Drosophila melanogaster: one gene and its partners. The protein of the gene in region 2 interacts with the protein of the main gene of each other region in a pairwise test. Each region holds a gene or a part of one and is shown on either strand. Other genes may lie near its edges. The genes, in order: Dpm3, CG1418, ReepB and CG42597.

The links.
Region 1: the proteins of CG1418 (region 2) and Dpm3 interact in a two-hybrid assay, tested with the Drosophila melanogaster proteins (one large-scale study listed by BioGRID).
Region 3: the proteins of CG1418 (region 2) and ReepB interact in a two-hybrid assay, tested with the Drosophila melanogaster proteins (one large-scale study listed by BioGRID).
Region 4: the proteins of CG1418 (region 2) and CG42597 interact in a two-hybrid assay, tested with the Drosophila melanogaster proteins (one large-scale study listed by BioGRID).

Annotation. Positions count from the first base shown.
Region 1 is NT_033777.3:13,401,196-13,404,964, reverse strand, and holds Dpm3 (Dolichyl-phosphate mannosyltransferase subunit 3), read left to right. Parts: upstream 1-1,913; 5' UTR 1,914-1,976; coding exon 1,977-2,126; intron 2,127-2,194; coding exon 2,195-2,329; 3' UTR 2,330-2,406; downstream 2,407-3,769. Other genes in the region: yellow-e3, read left to right, coding at 159-506, 571-964, 1,030-1,517; GILT1 (Gamma-interferon-inducible lysosomal thiol reductase 1), read left to right, coding at 3,215-3,286.
Region 2 is NT_033778.4:9,962,550-9,967,358, forward strand, and holds CG1418 (uncharacterized protein), read right to left. Parts: upstream 2,519-4,809; 5' UTR 2,168-2,518; coding exon 2,085-2,167; intron 2,033-2,084; coding exon 1,826-2,032; intron 1,773-1,825; coding exon 1,481-1,772; 3' UTR 1,286-1,480; downstream 1-1,285. Other genes in the region: Pal1 (Peptidyl-alpha-hydroxyglycine-alpha-amidating lyase 1), read left to right, coding at 1-111, 649-818; CG12133 (uncharacterized protein), read left to right, coding at 4,716-4,809.
Region 3 is NT_033778.4:14,167,428-14,173,498, forward strand, and holds ReepB (receptor expression enhancing protein B), read left to right. Parts: upstream 1-3,034; 5' UTR 3,035-3,153; coding exon 3,154-3,295; exon of another isoform or gene 3,296-3,490; intron 3,491-3,732; exon of another isoform or gene 3,733-3,936; coding exon of another isoform or gene 3,937-4,024; intron 4,025-4,361; exon of another isoform or gene 4,362-4,732; coding exon of another isoform or gene 4,733-4,799; intron 4,800-4,862; coding exon 4,863-5,095; intron 5,096-5,156; coding exon 5,157-5,256; intron 5,257-5,319; coding exon 5,320-5,381; 3' UTR 5,382-5,571; downstream 5,572-6,071. Other genes in the region: CG18327 (uncharacterized protein), read left to right, coding at 1-127, 237-767; CG18324 (uncharacterized protein), read left to right, coding at 1,429-1,676, 1,960-2,095, 2,143-2,682; mRpS16 (mitochondrial ribosomal protein S16), read right to left, coding at 5,604-5,876, 5,942-6,058.
Region 4 is NT_033779.5:22,063,502-22,067,910, reverse strand, and holds CG42597 (uncharacterized protein), read left to right. Parts: upstream 1-2,567; 5' UTR 2,568-2,650; intron 2,651-2,714; 5' UTR 2,715-2,717; coding exon 2,718-3,218; 3' UTR 3,219-3,307; downstream 3,308-4,409.

The DNA of each region.
Region 1 (3,769 bases), on a different chromosome or scaffold from region 2:
ATTGCAACATTTGTTCTATTACCACATAGCTTAAGTTTCTCTGAGTGCACTTTGAGATTGAAGGCTAAGAACTTTAGGGCCTACCTGCACATCTTTAGTCTTCGGCAATCGTTTGAACCGCGCGGAACTGTCACTTAGCAGGTTCTCATTTGATAGCCATGTTGGTCGTCCTGCTCGCATTATTTTGTGCAGTCCAGGGCCAGGCATTGGTCCTCAAGGAGCTGCACACCCTGCATCAGTGGACGAACCTCAGTTTGGGCGACGATCTGTCCAAGGGCAATCGCTTTCTGCCGGTGGATGTGGACATTGAGTACGGCGATGAGGGCAGGCATCGCACCTTTCTCACGATTCCGCGACTGGGGATGGCCACACCCTTCACACTGGCCACCGTCATTGCGGAGCACAATGAGCTGGTGGAGAATCCCAGACTGGAACCGTATCCCAACGAGGAGTGGCACGTGCCACCCAACAATTGCTCCGGCATCACCTCAGCCATTAGGACTTATGTAAGTAATAAAGCATATTTTCCCAACAGAAGATATTTCATGAATATTTATCGTTTTCTCCCAGATCGACGAGTGCTGGCGACTCTGGGTGGTGGATTCAGGGCAGGTAAACTCCCTGCAGTTGTGCCCGCCACAAATTCTCACATTTGATTTGGTGAAGGACGAACTAGTCCAACGACACGCACTTCCGCCCGATTCCTACATTCCCAGCGTATCCATCTTCACGGCTTTGGTGGTGGATCTGGCCGAGAGGGGCACACCCAACCGATGTGTTGGCGGCAGAGCGTATATAGCCGATGCCTGGGGTTATGGTCTAATCGTGTTTGACTCCCTGACGGGACGATCCTGGCGCATAGAGCATGAGTCCATGAAGCCGTCGCCCTTGCTGAGATTAGGACGCTCCAGCAACTCGCAGGCGGGAATATTTACAGTGAGCCTCAGTCCCAGCGAAGTGGAAGGTAGCTATTCAATTTAAATTCTAAATACTCAAAAATTATTTATAATTTCCAATGCAAATTTACAGACCGCTTTCTGTACTTTCACACGCTGAACTCCTTTAATGAGATGAGGGTTCCGCTCTCCCTGATCAACAACGAGACCTTCTGGAAGTCTGCGAATGCCAGCAGGGATAGCTTCCACAGCCTGGGCACCCGAGGAATCCAGTGCGAATCGGAGGTGATGGATCAGTCGGGGAATCTCTACTGCAGCCTCATCAGTTTAGGGGCGCTGGTGAAATGGGAGGAGTCCGTGTCCAACTACACGGCGGATGACCTGCGTGTGGTGGCCTACAATCCGCACAAGATCAAGTTCGTCACGGGCCTCAAGATCAACAGGAATTCCAAGGGAGAGGAGGAGCTGTGGGCCTTGAGCAGCCAGCCGAAACTCTTTGTTGGCGGCGACTTGCCCGCGAACGAGGTCAAGTTCCAAATAATTGGCTGCCGAACCGCTGACCTGCTTGCCAACACGCCGTGTACAGTGGGCGCCGCAGAAACCACGCCCACCAACGTTTAATTAAAACTTAGTTTTAACAAGTTTGAAACTGCGTCAATCGATTACTCTGATTTAAATTGCTGGCTGTAGAAGGCTGGCTGTTATGGCGCAACTTTGATCTATCGATAAATTGCTGACTGTGTTTAGCTGAGTAGTATGGCATTTGATTTGCTGACTGTGGATAGCTTTGTGCTATGGCACGTGCTTAGGGCTTGGTCACACTTAAGTTAGCCAATTAGAAAAGTAAACAATGTCTAACTGGAAGCCGTCAGGCTACGAATTACTAATTAGAAAATCTCCAACTAGACATGAATAGGAAAACCTCTAACTAGATTTGAATAGGTAAACCTCCTATCGATAGTAGCCGGTAAATATCGATATCGAATTACCGGGTGACCATCGGCTTAAGTTCCAGCTCTATGTTTACGTGTAGAACTTTATTTTCGGTTTAGTTTTGTTTACCAATAAATTTCGTTAGCTATGACAAATCTACAACGCTGGCTATTTTACGCATCGCTCTTTGCGATTCCCTATCTCTCCGTTGTTTTGGGAACAGTGCAAACGCCACTAACTACCAAGTATTTCCTGCACATTCAGCTTTTACCACTTTTGCTCCTCGTGATTTTTGGAGTGAGTTTTTGGATATGAATCAATGCAGATAACACCTCTTATTGACTACTACTATATATTACCCACAGATATATTCCGTTTGGACTGTTCTATATAGAACTCTGACTTTTAACGATTGTCCCGAGGCCGCCAAGGAGCTGCAGGATGAAATTCAGGAGGCTCGCAAGGATTTGATAGCCAAGGGATTTCGGTTTCGAGATTAGGAGACTTCCAGCTCGTAGGACTTGTGCATGTTAATCTGTAATTCCATTATTTATAAAAACAAAAATTACGCAAATTTACTCTAGACCGCATTTTGTGTGGGCGGACGCGTTGTTGGGGGCTGATTTCCCCAGGTGTCGGAAGTTTGGTGGCCAAATTATGTTGAGGTTTTGAAAGGATATGCTTGAAAAAGTATGGAATATGTTTATGTTTAATTGGCTTAGCTCCCCTGTGAATTACTCAAAATAAAAAATATAAGAAAACTAAAAAAGTATATGAGGTAAAATACGTTTAAAGAGATTAATAATATTCTTTACGGAAAACATATTTTTACTTAATGAACATGGTATATGGAAAACTCGTAAGTGCGAACCATATATTGCAAATCCATGCTTTGGCTATCTATTTCCAATAAATCAATTTTTTTAAAATTCTCTTAATTACAATGCGAAAGAGAAAAAAATATACTGTTTCAAAACTTTAATTTTCTCTTCTGCAAAATACTGGAAGGAGTTATAATTGCGAAGCTGAATGTTGTGATACTCAAAAGATCCAATATAAACCGATTAATAGCCATTTGAAGTTAATTTGTGTAATTTTTTTTTTAATGGCGGACAATAGTTTGAAAATAGAAATAAATTTCAAGAAGATAATACATAGTTGATGATAAAAAAGATAGTACATTTATTTACTCATGGTTGGGCAGTCTGGAAATCGGCTTTCTAATGGCCGACTGGAACTGGAACGGCGGTTTAAGCGTCAAGCTCTCTACAACAATCAACAGTTCGCGCTCAGCCACCGAACCGCTAACAACACGACCGCCGTTCGTTACGTGCTGGCTATATAACTGCATTTATAAGAAATTCTGAAGAACGAGAAGCCTGAAGATGAGTCACAAAATCGCCGCTGTGTGCCTCTTGATGAGCTGCCTGATTGCCACGGCTTATAGTGCCGCTAAGGTGAGTTTCCGGCTCGGAAAAACCCTTCGCCAAACTAGCGAAAAATCAGCCAACGGGGCCAACTAAGCCATTACACAACAGCCAAGCGTGTCAGGGGCACTCCGAATTGCTTTTACCATTTAGGTGAAGACGTGATTAAGTCGAATAACTAAATAGTGGGGGTATAGGAATACAAAAATGCAAAATAAAAAAATCCATAAAAGAGCTGCACCCTTTTCGTGGCAGCAACAAGTGGCATTTCGAGAGTTTAACGAACTGTGCCACACGTCGTAGTCGTCGGATCGGAAAATGCCGCCACCGTGGAAAAGCGTAGAGCATAATTGACAATATAAATGCATGTGTATGCGTGTATGTATGTGTATGTGAGCTTGGAGAGCGCCCTGTTGCTCTGTTGTTATTTTCATTTGGGCGAAGAACCGGTTCGGAGACCAGTTTCGATTTCTCATAGAAGAACCGGAGCTTGCCGGCACAGCCCCAACTGCA
Region 2 (4,809 bases):
TGGCTGTGCACCACCCGAGCGGCAAAGCAATCCTGGTGGCTTCGCTCATGCTCCTTTTCGCCGGCTCTACCTTTGCCTTGGCTTTGATCTTTGCGCGGCGGAGGAAACGAGGTAACCAAGCGAACAGCTCCGCTACGCCCAGTGACTTGGTGTACCGAAAGCTGACTGCTTCCACCCAGAGTCTTGGCTGATCGGTAGTGCTAACTCCTCACTCAATGTCCTGTGTTGTGCTGTCACACTTAACTGATTTAGTGTCCTGTACTTATAAGCTCCAACCTGTTTACATTTGTATCCACAATTGAATCTCCCTATTTACGCTTTTTTTGGTGTCGTTAATTACACAGCATGTCCACTTCTTGTGTGTTCTGTATTCGTTGGCTTACTTTTCGTTCAACTTTATTGTAATTAAAATTTATACCGCATTTATATACAAATTATATACAACTTTTTATACAAAATACATAAGCATACAAACAAAATTTACGTTTATCCTTAAGTGTATTCTGTTTTCGTTTTTGGTTTGTTCCAGTGCACGCCAGATCGCAGATCTATGCATGAACTAAGAAGGGAATGGGGTGACTAGTGTTATTGCTCATATAAATCCCATGGTAATTGTTAGTTAATCAGTTGTACCAACATATCCCACAGGTTGCCTGCCTTTCGGAGCACGCGGTCGTCGCCACGCGTGGGAGAAAAGCGATGGCTTCAAGCTGGGCGGACTTCTCGATCGGGATCGCAACGGATTCGAGAAGCTGGACCAGCAGGCCAGCGACGAGGAGCAGGAGACGAAGACACTGGCGAGTGCCCAGTACGCCTAGGCGAAGGACCAAGACTTACGCAGCTAACAAAGCATTCCTAGTTCTAACTACCTGTACCTCATTGAAATACCGACTTAGTTTTACGCGAGCTATGTATATGTGTGTACTTTAGGTAACTTTATTTACCTTCCTTGTGGTGCATATCGCAGAGAATTCCGATCGTGGTGTATTTCTAGTTGATTTATTGAGCCGTTTGTTCAATGTATTTTAAACAGCTTATTTATGGAAACTTCTTTTGGAGAACCGACTATGCGATTTTTTTCCGGTTACTTATATTTATTCTTTATTTAAAAGAATACATTTTTAAAACGCATGCCTCTAAAGAGCTCGAAAATATCTGAAATATTGTAAGTGCCACAGAGTCCAATGACTTGACCACATCCTTTAAATTAATTTTTTTTTTCGAATTAAATCGAAGTTCTCAGCGAATGCGCCTCATATATTGCGATTAATTTGCCAAAAAGAATATAGTCGTATGAATCTGTCATAGTGTGTATTTCGATTATTTAAAGTCTGCGGCTTAACTAGATTTCGTTATAAATAGGTGTACAACATATTGTGTCGACTTGCAAGGCCCCATAGTGGCGAATATGTTTAGCCCCTTTCCTCGTCCCTGGTTGCCACGATCCCAGAAGACCTAGGGTTTAGCTTCTGGCTGGCGGTCAGACAACCTGGGCGAGGAAACCCTCATTCTCCTCCGTTACAATAGCATCGATGTTGTAGAATATAGCATGCATAGCAATCACGAAGCATGAAGCACCCAGCGTCCAAAACAAAACCGCACCCGCGCCCACCAGGAATAGCACTGGTGCCGTCGCCAGATTGAGTGCGATGATCTGCTGGCTGGGCGTCAGTTGTTGTCCCACGATGGTAATGTTACTGTTGCGCACGCGCAGCTTATGGCAGCCAAAAGCGGAAGCCAGGATGACCAGCAGAATGCAGGGAGCCGTGATGCTTAAGATTATAACTATTAAATGGGGTGCAATAAGGTTTTTAGAATCACTTACAGGCAGTATATCATCAGTACAAAAAAGATGAAAACGTAGTTGGCCTGAAAATAGGAGAGATTCCGAATAACCCGGCTATTTAGCCGCTGCATGCTGATGGCCGTTTTGAAATTGTTGATGTTGAAGAAGACTACCCAGGGCCGCAGGGAGTTTCGGACCATTTGGAAGATCTGCAGCGGTGATGGCAGGTTGGATAGCGAGGGCAGGCTGCAGGGTTCAAGAGTAATTAGCTATTCGCTCCTTGTTACGGTTTACTCACCTTTGCATGTCCACGGAGAACCTGCCTCCGGAAGGCGGTGGCGGCTGCATGTTACCGGATAGGTTCCCGCCAGTGTGTGCCATTTTGCTTGTGCTTTCCCAACCTCGTCCTAACACTTATCTTAGATACACGTCTTCGCTGCAATCTACAATTCTTCTTTCGACAAGTGTGGGCGTTCCACAAGTGTTATGTGTATCTTTGGATTCGTTCCACTTGGTCCAAGAACTGTCTTGAGGATGCTGCGGCGTTTGTAAAGCGGCGAGGACTTTAGCGGGGTCACTTCTACATGGAGGCGGCAACACTTTCGATGTTGATTTTACGATTCACTCTTAATTTGCTATGACATCGTTTTCTTTTGAGAAACAGTATACAAAGTTTGAAAAATCTGATGTGGCAGATAGTTCTAGGATTGCCGTTGCCGTGACGTGCGGTGTGGCCAGAGTTGCGAGTGCGCAAATTCTCGAAATCAACTGAAAACAAATCCAAAGCGCTGAATGCAATCAAACATTTAATACAAAACTTTTTCTCTAAACATTTGAATTATTTTTTAATGATATTTTTACACAAAACAATTATATTTTTCTACCTATTACTCGTGTAGTAGATGGTTATACTAGATTCGTTTAAAAATGTATATATTTTTGATATCCTTGTCTATTAACTTGAACTATTAAAGCTAGAAAGTTAAGATTAGAAATTCAGTTTCTTTCTGATGATGCAACGCCACAATTTAAAAAAATGAATCGATTTTTTTTCATTTTATTACTTGTCTTGCCAATTTCTAGAGCTATGCCAAAAACCTTTTACCACGCCCATTTTAACACTGAAATCTGCTACGTCTTCACTTTTATGTGTAGACATTTTTTAATTTTACTATTTGTTATCAGTATGGCAAAAGATATGTTGGATGCGCCCAAACCAAACCAAACCCACACTTTTAAAAAGTTACTTGCCTATTTTTCATCTTATTATTTTTTTTTCCAATTTGTATAGATAAGCCAAAATGAATGTTGAACTTTTCCACCAGCTGAGTAATTGGTATCTGATAGTCGAGGAACTGGACTATATAGTTCTCTCTGCTTAAAAATGTTTTCATCACAGAATTACTTATTATTTCTTTTAACAAGGCCAAACAAAGCAAACATATTAAGCAATTCTTTTAATTTCCTTTTATATAAGTAGGCGTAACGAAAGAAATTTTAAGAGTCTGCGTTGCTTTACAAGTAACAGGTAAGAATCGCGCTGATATTTTAAATATTTTTTGAACAATTTATTTGACGGATAACACAACATCCATTAAATTTTTCTCAGGTCTTCTGGCTAATACATACATATCTTATATTTCTTGTATCTTGTATACACACTCAGGTTAAATGTTACATTTCTATTTACATTTACCAACAAAGAGTTTTAGAAGTTAAGAGAGTTTTCATTTGCATTACCATTATGAATATAGACTATATAATAAAAGTTCTAACTTAGATATATTTACAGATATGGATTTTTGACGTCATAACATATTGCTGGTGTGACACAAGTGATAAGTATTTTTTCACAGTTCCGGTATGAATCAGATTTTTGATTTTAACTTAAAAAAATTGTGTCTTGAAATATTCAGAATGGATTTATATTTGTTTACGGAGATGGAAATTGATTATCATCTTTTTGTTCAACGGTATTTTGGGATTGTGGAGAAAGTAAAAAATAAATCTCGTTCTAGTCACGCGGTATCAGGGTGATGGTGTCCTTCATTTCCAAAAAACCTGTGAATGTATTCGAGTGTTGCGACTGTTAGATACCTGTTACTCAGTTTATGAACCTGCAACATATGGATATGTAGAATTTGAATAATTTGGCGTGTAGCAAGGATATAGCTCTGATCAATCTATTACTACAGTTTTGATATGTTTAAAAGTAGTAGGATTTGAACGTTTCCTGGTATCCAGAAGACTTTTAGGATGTGAGCGTTTTAGGAGTTTAGGGCGTAACAGGGGCGTGGCACGGTTTTAAAGAAAACTTACATGCTTCCTTACTCTTAATGTTTCCGACATCTCGACATTCATACGGACGGACAGGCAGGCCATTATAATTAACCCAAGGAAAGTTGTGGATTGGACATCGTGCCATGAATCATTTTAGCAATCGAGATAAGCTTGAACTTTTAAGACCAACTGGCTTTTGAATTCAGTATTCGGTTAGGCTTTGACATTTCAAGATGGTCTCGATCCATTTTTATTTGGCACTTTTGCTTCAAGCGATTTCCTTGGCGAATTCTTTCCAATTTGGTAAATAGTGGCAACTACAATACAATATACATATCTACAATTTCATCGGATCAGTGTCAGTGTTAAATATATACTTTGGCAGCTCACGGATCTATTTTTGGTCTCAACAATAATTAATACCTTATAATTACAAAATTGGAACTTCATTGGGTTGATTTCGCTACACAAAACTATAGTCTTACCAGGAAAATGCAATCTTTAATAGGATTTCATACAGTGTTACAAATGCTATTTTCGGCCATTTTGAGCTCCATTAATTGGTCAATTTTTGTTACCCCCCTTAGCAAAATTCAATTTTTGCCGACTAGACGAGATTTGCATCCCACTGAGCAAATGTGAACCTCTTATGAAGATTCTACATCCCCGGAACATGACAAACGATCAAAAATCACAGTACCGGAACAAACTATGCAACATTAATCCTTTTGCCCACGAGCTAG
Region 3 (6,071 bases), 4.2 Mb from region 2:
ATACACCCATGCCGTAGAGAAGGGTTGGGTCCACAACAACAAGGGCGAGATCTCATTCGCAAAGGGCATGTTCTGGGGCGCTTTGGGCGGCGTTGTGGGTTCCTATTGTGCCAGTCCCTTCTTCCTGGTAAGCGATTATGTAAATCAAACACTGAAGGTGTCTGCTTCCGCGAATATGTGACAATGTCTAGCCGTGATAAGATAAGGCATCACTGATAGCTACATTTCCATTCTAGATCAAGACGCAACTTCAGGCACAGGCAGCCAAGCAGATCGCCGTTGGTTATCAGCATCAGCACGCCTCGATGAGCGATGCGATTAGGAAGATATACAGGAAGAACGGCGTCTTTGGACTCTGGCGAGGATCGTTGGCGAATGTGAGCCGTGCCACTGTTGCGTCCGCCGTTCAAATCGCAGTTTTTGGCCAGGCCAAGAGTTTGTTGAAGGAAAACGGAGTGGTAACTCATCCCACAATCCTGTCCTTTTGCTCTGGCTTAGCCGCTGGGTCATTTGTCTCGCTGGCAATCACTCCATTGGATGTGGTTACCACTCGTCTTTACAATCAGGGAGTTGATGCCCAAGGTCGTGGCATTTACTACAGGGGCTGGTTGGATTGTGTGCTTACGATCCTAAGATCGGAGGGTGTATATGGGTTGTACAAGGGCTTTTGGCCCATTTATCTGAGGAGTGCTCCATATTCCACGTTGGTGCTTTTGTTCTTTGACGAACTAATTGCGCTGAGGGAAAAGTACGATCTTCACTACTAAACGAAAATTATTTAACACGAGCGGGGCTCTTTGAAATGCAAAACCATACGAAGTTGTTTTACTTTCGTTAGCTTAGTATTTGGAAGTTACGTTCTAGTAGCATATCCGTTTCCCGGATATTTCATCAAAATAACAATTTCAATTTGATCCTCTGAAGAGGGTAAGTAAAGATTTAAACAAGTTAAAAGAGAAAATAAAAATGTATTTATTTATATTTTATTCTTTGGCTACGAGCGTGGTTAAGTAAAGTCCTTATAATCCATTCTTAACCGTCCGCGAAATTATCGATATCCATACGTGTAACTATCGATAAATTAATGTTGATATTTAACAAGCAATAATAAATGTATTATGACCTTTTCTCAAAGTGATTTATTTGTTTTGGTCACTAATTAATAATTCAATAAGAATTTTACCAATATTTTTGAATAAAAAATTCATTAATTACAAATACTAATTTCTTTCTTAAGCGAATTTTAATTTTTAAACACCAAATACAAGAGTTCAAATATTTAAATTATTCCGCCAAGTGAGCATTTAAATCATTAAAGCATTAAAATGTATGCCATTAATTCGATAAATGTAACAATCGGTCTGTCGACCAAAGAGTAAACAAAATGTTAACGTAAGATCAACCAAATCCAAAGTTTGGGGTGAAAACATGACCAAGTCGGATTTCGTGCTGGGCGGAACGGCAGCGATGGGTGCGGTGGTGTTCACCAATCCCATCGATGTGGTCAAGACGCGGATGCAGCTGCAGGGAGAGTTGGCTGCCCGAGGAACCTATGTGAAGCCCTACAGGCATCTCCCCCAGGCCATGCTGCAGATAGTCCTCAACGACGGACTCCTTGCTTTGGAGAAGGGTCTCGCTCCGGCATTATGTTATCAATTTGTCCTCAACTCGGTCAGGCAAGTGCATTGTAAAGGACACTTGTTGCCATCCATAAACATCAAAATCTTTGAACTTTATACGAATATTAGAGGTAGATTTAAACAAAGTTTATATAAAAGTGGCCGTAAAATTATGCAATGCTAAGTAGTGTAATTACAAGCACCATGAATTAATGTGAAATGCATGCTTATCTTATCTAACACTGTGAAGTAATGGACATTTAAGATAAGTCGTTACGTTCATCATTGAAAATAGTTACCCTAAGCAAATTGCAGTGTAAATACCCTTTCCTTATGGTAGGCTAAGTGTATATTCGAACGCATTGGAGCTGGGATACTTGCAGAATGCGGATGGCTCCATATCCTTCTATCGGGGCATGTTCTTTGGAGCTCTGGGCGGCTGCACGGGCACCTATTTCGCCAGCCCCTTCTACATGGTGAGTAGATCCGCTAGAGCTTCCCATCTGATCTCCCTCCATTACAGATAAAGGCCCAACAGCATGCCCAGGCGGTTCAGTCCATTGCCGTAGGCTTTCAGCACAAGCATACTTCGATGATGGATGCCCTGCTGCATATTTACCGGACCAATGGCATTTCAGGATTCTGGCGCGCTGCTTTACCAAGCTTGAACCGAACGCTTGTGGCCTCCAGTGTACAGATCGGCACCTTTCCCAAAGCCAAGTCCCTTCTGAAGGATAAAGGCTGGATCACCCATCCGGTTCTCCTCTCCTTCTGTGCCGGCCTATCGTCGGGAACCCTTGTGGCAGTGGCCAATTCGCCCTTTGATGTGCTCACCACACGGATGTACAACCAGCCAGTGGATGAAAAGGGGCGTGGACTCATGTACAAGGGCTTGGTGGACTGTTTCACTAAAATCTGGAGAACCGAAGGGATCCATGGGATGTACAAGGGCTTTTGGCCCATATACTTTCGTAGTGCTCCACACACCACCTTGACATTTGTGTTTTTTGAAAAGTTGCTCCATTTGCGAGATCGTTATGTTTTCTCCCAGCGCAGAAACTGAAGAGTCCAGTCCTCATGGAGCCAACTAGATTACTGTAAATCCTCGCATACAATTGTTAAGTCCCACGATGTGACAATCCTAAAATTTATAATTTTATAAATAATAAAATTGTTCATCAAAAATGATCCCATGAGTTTACCATTGAATGCACGTCAACTGCTATAAGTTTTTTTTCTTATGTAATTTGCTGCATAACATATTTACCTTTCTAATAAAAGCTTAAAATAATTATTTGCTGTTTGCAAATATTTACTGTGAAAAAGAAAAAGCCGCCAGTATTGCAATTTTAGTATGACCTCTCCTTATCGATAGGCGGCGATAGATGCGAACAATAACGCATCATGTCTTCGATTGTCAATAGTCCATTTGGCACCGATAGGCGCAAGCACAAACTATCGACTGGCATCTGGAAAGTCGGCGGCGTCACATATTTTTGATTGACTATATATATTTAAAAACAATTTGCGCAAAATGGCCACTCAGGTGAAGCAGTTCTTAAACGGCTACAAGGATGACGTGAGCAAATCGCTGCGCGATGCTTCCAAGCCGTGGACCAAAGTCTTCGATACCGTGGAGGAGAAGACCGGCGTGGACCGGGTCAATATTTTCGTGGGTGAGTGTGGAATATCCTGGCGACGTCATCGCATGTCCTTCGCCGAAACGCCCATGTAACCTTCTGCTAGTTGACTGCGTAACCATTGAGATTAGCCTAGAGATGCAGTGGAATATTTCGGGATGCTTATAAATAGCAACCTGTTATATATAGCAATGTGTATGTGGCTGAATCAGGATGGTCGGGGGGGCTTAATAGCCGCCAGGTGACCAATTAACGAATTAAACAGACGACTTAAACGGCAAAGCCCAATTAAATAGTGTGTCTATATTATCACCGAGTGCCTGCAACCAATACACCTCAGTTTGTGAGCATGCGATGTGTGCGTGTAAGCGACTACGTAGACAGCTGGCGATGTGTGCGTCTGTTATCCACAAAAGTTTCATGTTTTGTGCTTTTCTTTGTTTACTTCAACGAAAGTACACTTTTTTTTGCCCAGTACGCGGTGAGCAATACATTTGGCGCATTCCATTGCCATATTCTCTAGACGAAGATCTGGAGAAAGTCCAGTTCGGCGGGGTCAAAAGGTCTGAATTATTGAGACGTGGCGCTGTCGGCACACGTGGAGCCAATCTACTCACTCACCTGTGTGCGTTGGTAGAGCTTTCAGTTCGTTCGTTCGGTGCTCACCGGAGTTACCGATGTGGCTCTGGGACTATATTATGCTAATCAGACAGCGACAGGAGACGCGGCGCAATGTCAGAGTTCCCTTGGTTTACCTCGGCATAGGTGAGAATGTGGTCATAATGGCAAAAGTAGCTATCTTTCAAAACCGAAGTCTATATACACTTGCAAAAATGACGGACGTTGATTCATCATACAAACATTTGGCCTCATTAGCTGTTCAACAGTTCGGCATACTTTAATAATCAAAACAAATTGTGTAAACAAATATATGCATATTAGGGAACAACCATTTATGGAGAATTCGCAATTCACATCAAATGATCTGATCGACTAAGGATATAGTTTCTGTGGCTTGTAATGAAACCCACCTTTTTGCAATGATGTTGCTCAAATTAAAGTACCCTCAGCCAGGGTATAAATATAATTAGCCGCCATCGAGCATGAATGACATCATAAATTTATGGCAAAACAACAGGCCGTAGTCCGCTCATCTGGGTGGGCAAAATGCAACTGGCCGGGATCAGAGGCAGGTCGAGACATCTACTGACAACAGCTAAGGGTTTATAATTAGCCAACGGCATGGGGCGGTTTAAAAACCCCAGGGATCCACGAAGGGGCGCCCTTGAAAGCTGTACGAGCACCTGGCACTGTGCCCTTGGAACAGTTAGTCTTGTAGCTAAAGTTTGTAAGTGTTAACTCCATCTGATCACCCTGCGCCCTGTGGAACCGCTCCTGCCCTTGGACCTGCTTATAGCCATAAGGGAAAATGCGCCACTAGGGCAATATCAATTGACCAACTAGATGGCGAACATGGCAGTCGAGGAATTAGAGAGCAAAATTGTCCAACTGTTCGTAGAGAACCCCCTCCTGCGCTACGGTAGAGCTCCAGCAGTGACTTAATGCTATTTACTAATAAGGTATTATATTTCATCATATGTAGGTGCTGTTGGTCTGTGCGCCATCTACCTGATCTTTGGCTGGGGCGCCCAACTACTGTGCAACATCATTGGGGTTCTGTACCCTGCATATATTTCCATCCATGCCATCGAGTCCAGCACAAAGCAGGACGACACCAAGTGGCTGATCTACTGGGTCACGTTTGGAATCTTCACCGTGATTGAATTCTTTTCGAGTCTGCTAACTTCGGTGATTCCCTTTTACTGGCTGCTGAAGGTGAGCTTTGCATTCTTCACATATAAGAATCTTCTTTTAAATGCTTCAACTCCACATGTAGTGTGCTTTCCTCATCTGGTGCATGCTGCCCACGGAACAGAATGGTTCTACCATCATCTACAACAAGCTGGTGCGACCCTACTTCCTGAAACATCACGAATGTGAGTAAATTCACCTCTTAGATATTGCAATTTTACTAAAAGGAGATCAATATTTGCACACAGCCGTTGACAGGATCATCGATGATGGCATGAAGAAAGCCGCTGGAGTGCTGAAGCATGACTAGAAGGCGAATGTACCGTAGCTCCGACCGCTTCTCGCTTATCCATGCATTTGGTTTTGGGCCTGGTCACCAACCTCACCTCGTATTGGTTACGTTTTGCAATAAATTTTAATTCTGTATTCATTTTGTTGTTGATAAGAGCACCAGTGTTCGCTGAACCAGAAGAAATCTCCGTTTGTTAAACGTAAAAACGAAAAGGAGGCTTTTATTGAGGCACAACTATATTTATGCGGTTGATTCCGCCTTTTCTGGCGACGCCTCCGCTTCAGCAGCTGTCCTCCGGTTCCGCCAGGCGGTCATGTAGGTGCGCGGGTGGATGGGCAGTAGTCCGGCAATTCCCAGGAGTTCTGCAGCCGGCGTGGACAAGTGTGCACCTTTGCCCAGCCAATAGCGAATTCTCTCCGTGTTCAGGGCCACCAGTCGTTCGTTGTAATCGTTGGGCAGGGGATCAAAGGAGCCCACCTGCTCGATGACAGGCTGGTGCTGGTTCTTGCGCCTCTAAACCGGAAAATACAATTACCAATTAAAAGTTTTAACCATTTTAATGGCCTAAAAGTACGCACCTCCATGACGACAATGTGATAAAAAGGCCGATTGGTGCATCCCAGGCGTACGAAACGTATGATTTTTGCCGACTTGGCGTAGAAACGACCAATGCCACTGGCTGGCGATAGAGACATCCCGATATTTTAT
Region 4 (4,409 bases), on a different chromosome or scaffold from region 2:
GAGACAAAGACGCAGTGCAAGTTTGTTGACTCATGTTGCCACTTAACTGTAACCGCACAAAACTGCCACGCCCACACTTTTTCTATCGTTTTGCAAAAAAAAAATATATATTTAAATAATAAATAAACCGTCCAAAACTGCCGGGCCCATATTTTTGAATTTTTTTTGGATATTTTTTCATAATTTAATTAGTCTTCTTAATTTCTATCGATTTGCCAAAAAACTTTTTTCCACTCCAACTTTAGCGCCTTAAATTCGGCAAAATTATTCGATATTTGTTCATAATTTTATAAGTTGCTTAAATTTCCATCGATTTGTCAAAAAACATTTTCCACGTATAATCTAACGCCCTAAAGCCGCCAAACCGGTCACGCCCACACTTTTGAACAATTTTTAATGTGTTCTCATTTTATTCCCCAATATCTATCAATATCCCAGAAAAATTATGAAATTTCGCGTTTGTATTCACACTAGCTGAGTAATGGGTATCTGATGGTCGGGGAAGTCGACTATAGCATTCTATCTTCTTTTTTGCATATTGTTCCAAAAAAGTATTAAAATATCTCGTTCATACTTTTAGCTGAGTACCGGGTATCGATATACCAAAAACATATTGGGCACACCCACTCTAACGTCACACCCACTCGGCGTCCACCATAACGCCTACAATCCACAGAAAAGCCGCAGCGGCCACAATTTTCGAAAATGTTATAAGTTTATTATTTTTTTATGTTTCTTGGTTAAAATTTGGAAGCGTTGTCATTAAGCGTTGGTGAAGTGCATCGATGGCGTAGATTGGTTCCCAACCACAACAAGAATTCCTTTTGTGTAATTGGCTGATTTGAAACCACGTCTATACGTGAATAACGCTTTTCGGAACCGCACCTCAAGACCAGGATCAGATTGGTACGCTTACCGTCTACCCGGTAGTCCTTACTGTCCTGATGCAGAGCAATAGTTTCGTAGATGGAGTAGACTTTTCCAACATTTAGCCGCACAAAGGATCCAATCACAGCCTCCGCGAAAATAGGTTTACCCAGTAAGTTCTTTATGTCGTTCCGTTTTAACACTGCTCGACTCAGCTGTTCCAGGTTGGATACGCGTTCATCGCTTTCAACGTTCGTTTGCGGATCGTTTTGGGCTGTATTCTCGCTCTCACTGTTAGGCGAGGAATCGCCGGAATAAGTCTCTTTGACCTCGATATTTACATCCTTACGCGTTTGTGCCTTGCAATCATCACTAGACTTCGTCTGCTCTGCACTGTCTTCGGAACATTTTCCCTTGCTCAATTTAATGGTGCGAATTGCCAATAATCGCTCAAAAGCATGTGCTGTTTTGCCACCAGACTCCAGTTTATTTGCGATCTTACGTCTTGTCCGTAAGCGCTCAACCATTTTTTTATACTTTTACTCTACGAATATCGGGTATAAAAAGTTTAATTGTAAATTCGATGAATTATTCAAAAATGCGAATCATAGGTAGGCCTCAGCAGGAATCATATTTATATGAACTTTTTTTTAATACTAAAACTACCGGATATTCAACTGGCAGTTTTTGTAATATTACAAATATGTTAAATTCTCGCAGCTGTTCAGTGTTCCTCATTCAATTTGCTTCGCTCGACATCGGCAAATATGAGTTTTGATATTGGAATTTTTGGTGGCGGCTGTTCAATAAGCACAAAAAACCGTAATAAGCTAGAATCCACGACAGGTGACTGAGTTAGCAGGAGAAAAAAAATATGCGCACACAAAAGCGAACCATTTTGTGTGGGTCTGGCGAGCAGTACGCGTATTCTTATTTGGCTAAATGACAAAACTTCATCAAAGTGAGCTTACGACTTCCTTGCTTTGATAAAAATTCCAATTTCTTTTTAGTGATGTTGGCTTTTGGCCGGACTTCCATTGGATATCTAATTGGAATTTAAAATGGCGGCACAATTAAATGGTACTGCTATATAAATAATTCTACAGCAATTGTTTGCAAGAAACACTAATTTAAGTAAAATGCAAATGATTTCCGGTATTAGGAGCACGGAGTGGAGCCAGAAGTGGTGCTCCGCATTCGAGGTGAGTGCGTTGGGGATGTATCTTCTGGATATTGCATGAGATTCGTATCCCCTCCACCTAAGTTTTCAATTGCGATTCAGTTTCGTTTCCATGTTGCAACTATAGCAACGACGACGACGTCATACGATTAACGTGAGCTGCATATTTTCGGCTAATTTTCTAATTAAAATGATATTTATGCATTTTTTAGCTGACAGAATTAAACATTCAGTGCCAAAGCCAATTTTTACAGGCAAAGTGAACAATGAAGCACGTACTAACCTCTCGCATAAAGATATTGACATTACATATTACAAAAGATAAGGGAGTAGGTATAATCCGTTTTAAAAGGTAGTGGTAAAGGTAAGGTAGACTTCATAAAAATCAATCAATTTTTTATCTGCTTTAGTCTTCCACGAGTTCAGCTGGTTTTCAACTTTGAAGTCCCTAAAGTTTTCATTTAACTTGCCAACGCAATACAGGAATTATTCTCCGACCCAGCAAGCATTTTAAATTGAAACAAACAAAACAATGTGTTTTGTTTTTTTTACCTTATTCATTCTAAATTTGTGTAACTTATACATATTTACAAGACCGCGCAGGCAAGTCACTTCTAACGTCTATATACAGGCAATACCCGATAGTTAACCAATATCCCTTTCTAAGGAAATGACCAGTCCCACGCCTGTTCTATTGGCCTTCGTTGTGCACATGGTGCTCCACACAACGCTCTTCATACATCTAGATCCGGGTATAATTGCAGACACCCCCGTCTTTGGTAGCCAGTTATTCTATTTATCAGTGATGGATCTGCTGTGCGACACAGAGGTAATACCCACGCACTGGAGTAACATTCCGCGGTGGGGAAAGTTTATCCTTGAGACCATTATCGCCATCCTTATTGGCGAAACTTTGATGGTGGGCGTATGGCTTTCCATGGAAACGCTTCTCGTCAACTTTATAAATGTTATAACCAATTGGTTGGGCCTGGGCAGCCGTACAAACACTAATTTCCAGGAGATCGGCACGATTTTATTGGGAGTTATCTTTTTAGTGATAGTGGGTGCCATTACAAATCGACCGGCCAAAGTTTGGAAAATGGCACAACAGTCTTGGAGAATCATCACACAACAAAGTCGTCCTTCGTCCAAACAGAAATCTTTTAAATAAGCAAAAGGACCCACATCGTTTTCGGTTCCTTCTATTAATTTGGGATACCATTTCTAGTTTATGTGCACTTTTTTATTAAAAGGGTGCTCAAAAAAAAAAAATTGGTTATCTCTAATTTCAAGTACCCATCTCTTTGTTCTTTTAACAGTGAAATAGTCAAATATAGTCTTTGATATCTATGCACCCCAATGCTTAATGAAGCTCGATATTCACAAAAGGATGCGATGCACCTTTGTAAATGTTAGCATACGACCTTTACTTAAGAAGAACAACAGGTTTTTCTAATGTCTCGATTCGAAGCCATAGGGCAATTAAATATGTCACGGGTGGGAGCGGAAACTTGTAAGACATTTAACTGTTTGGGCGCGCTTAAATGGAATCTGAGTGAAATAATTACCGTTGGAGAAAATGATTTCGAACAAATCATGTCTTACGGTTATTATACAAAAGGACATCCGTGATCCCTTAGGCAAGAAAATTCGAGAAACATAAGCTGCAGTTGCGCTAAAGGTGTGGGTGTAATTAGTAACATTTGTGCCACCAAACAATTAACATAGAAAGTGGCTCGAACTCTGTGAAGAACACATGTGCGATTGACTCTCTCTTGGGCCATTATGTAATAAAAAGCGCTACTTATGTTTACTTAATGTATTGTATATCCTACAACACGAAACTCAAAAAATTTGAGATAAAAGAGAAAAGTTGAGTTTTTCAAACTAGTATTTTAGACCCTTTACTCAGATAGTTGGTGTGTGATTAAGAAAGTTCAATAGTATTTTTTGACATATCTATAGAAATTGTTCGGTTTTGTGGGCGTGTCTCTGGAACCTGCTTGCTTATTTCAAATTTCTAGCTTTTCAAGTTCCTGAGATCGAGGTGTTCCAACAGACAGACGGACGGACTGAAGGACATGACCAGATCGACTCGGCTGGTAATCCTGACCAAGAAAATATATAGTTTCTATGGTCAATACATACTCTGCGTACTTCACGAATCTAATATACCCGTTTACTCTATAAGTAACGGGTATAAATATGTGGGTTATACCAAAGGCACTATTGTAATGTCTTTGGTTATACCAAAAAAGAACAGGTTATGGTTAGGGTTAACACTCTCAGATACCCGATACTCAGCTAGAGTAACTGCGAACGCGAAATTTCTAAATTTTTCTGGGATATCGATAGATGTTGG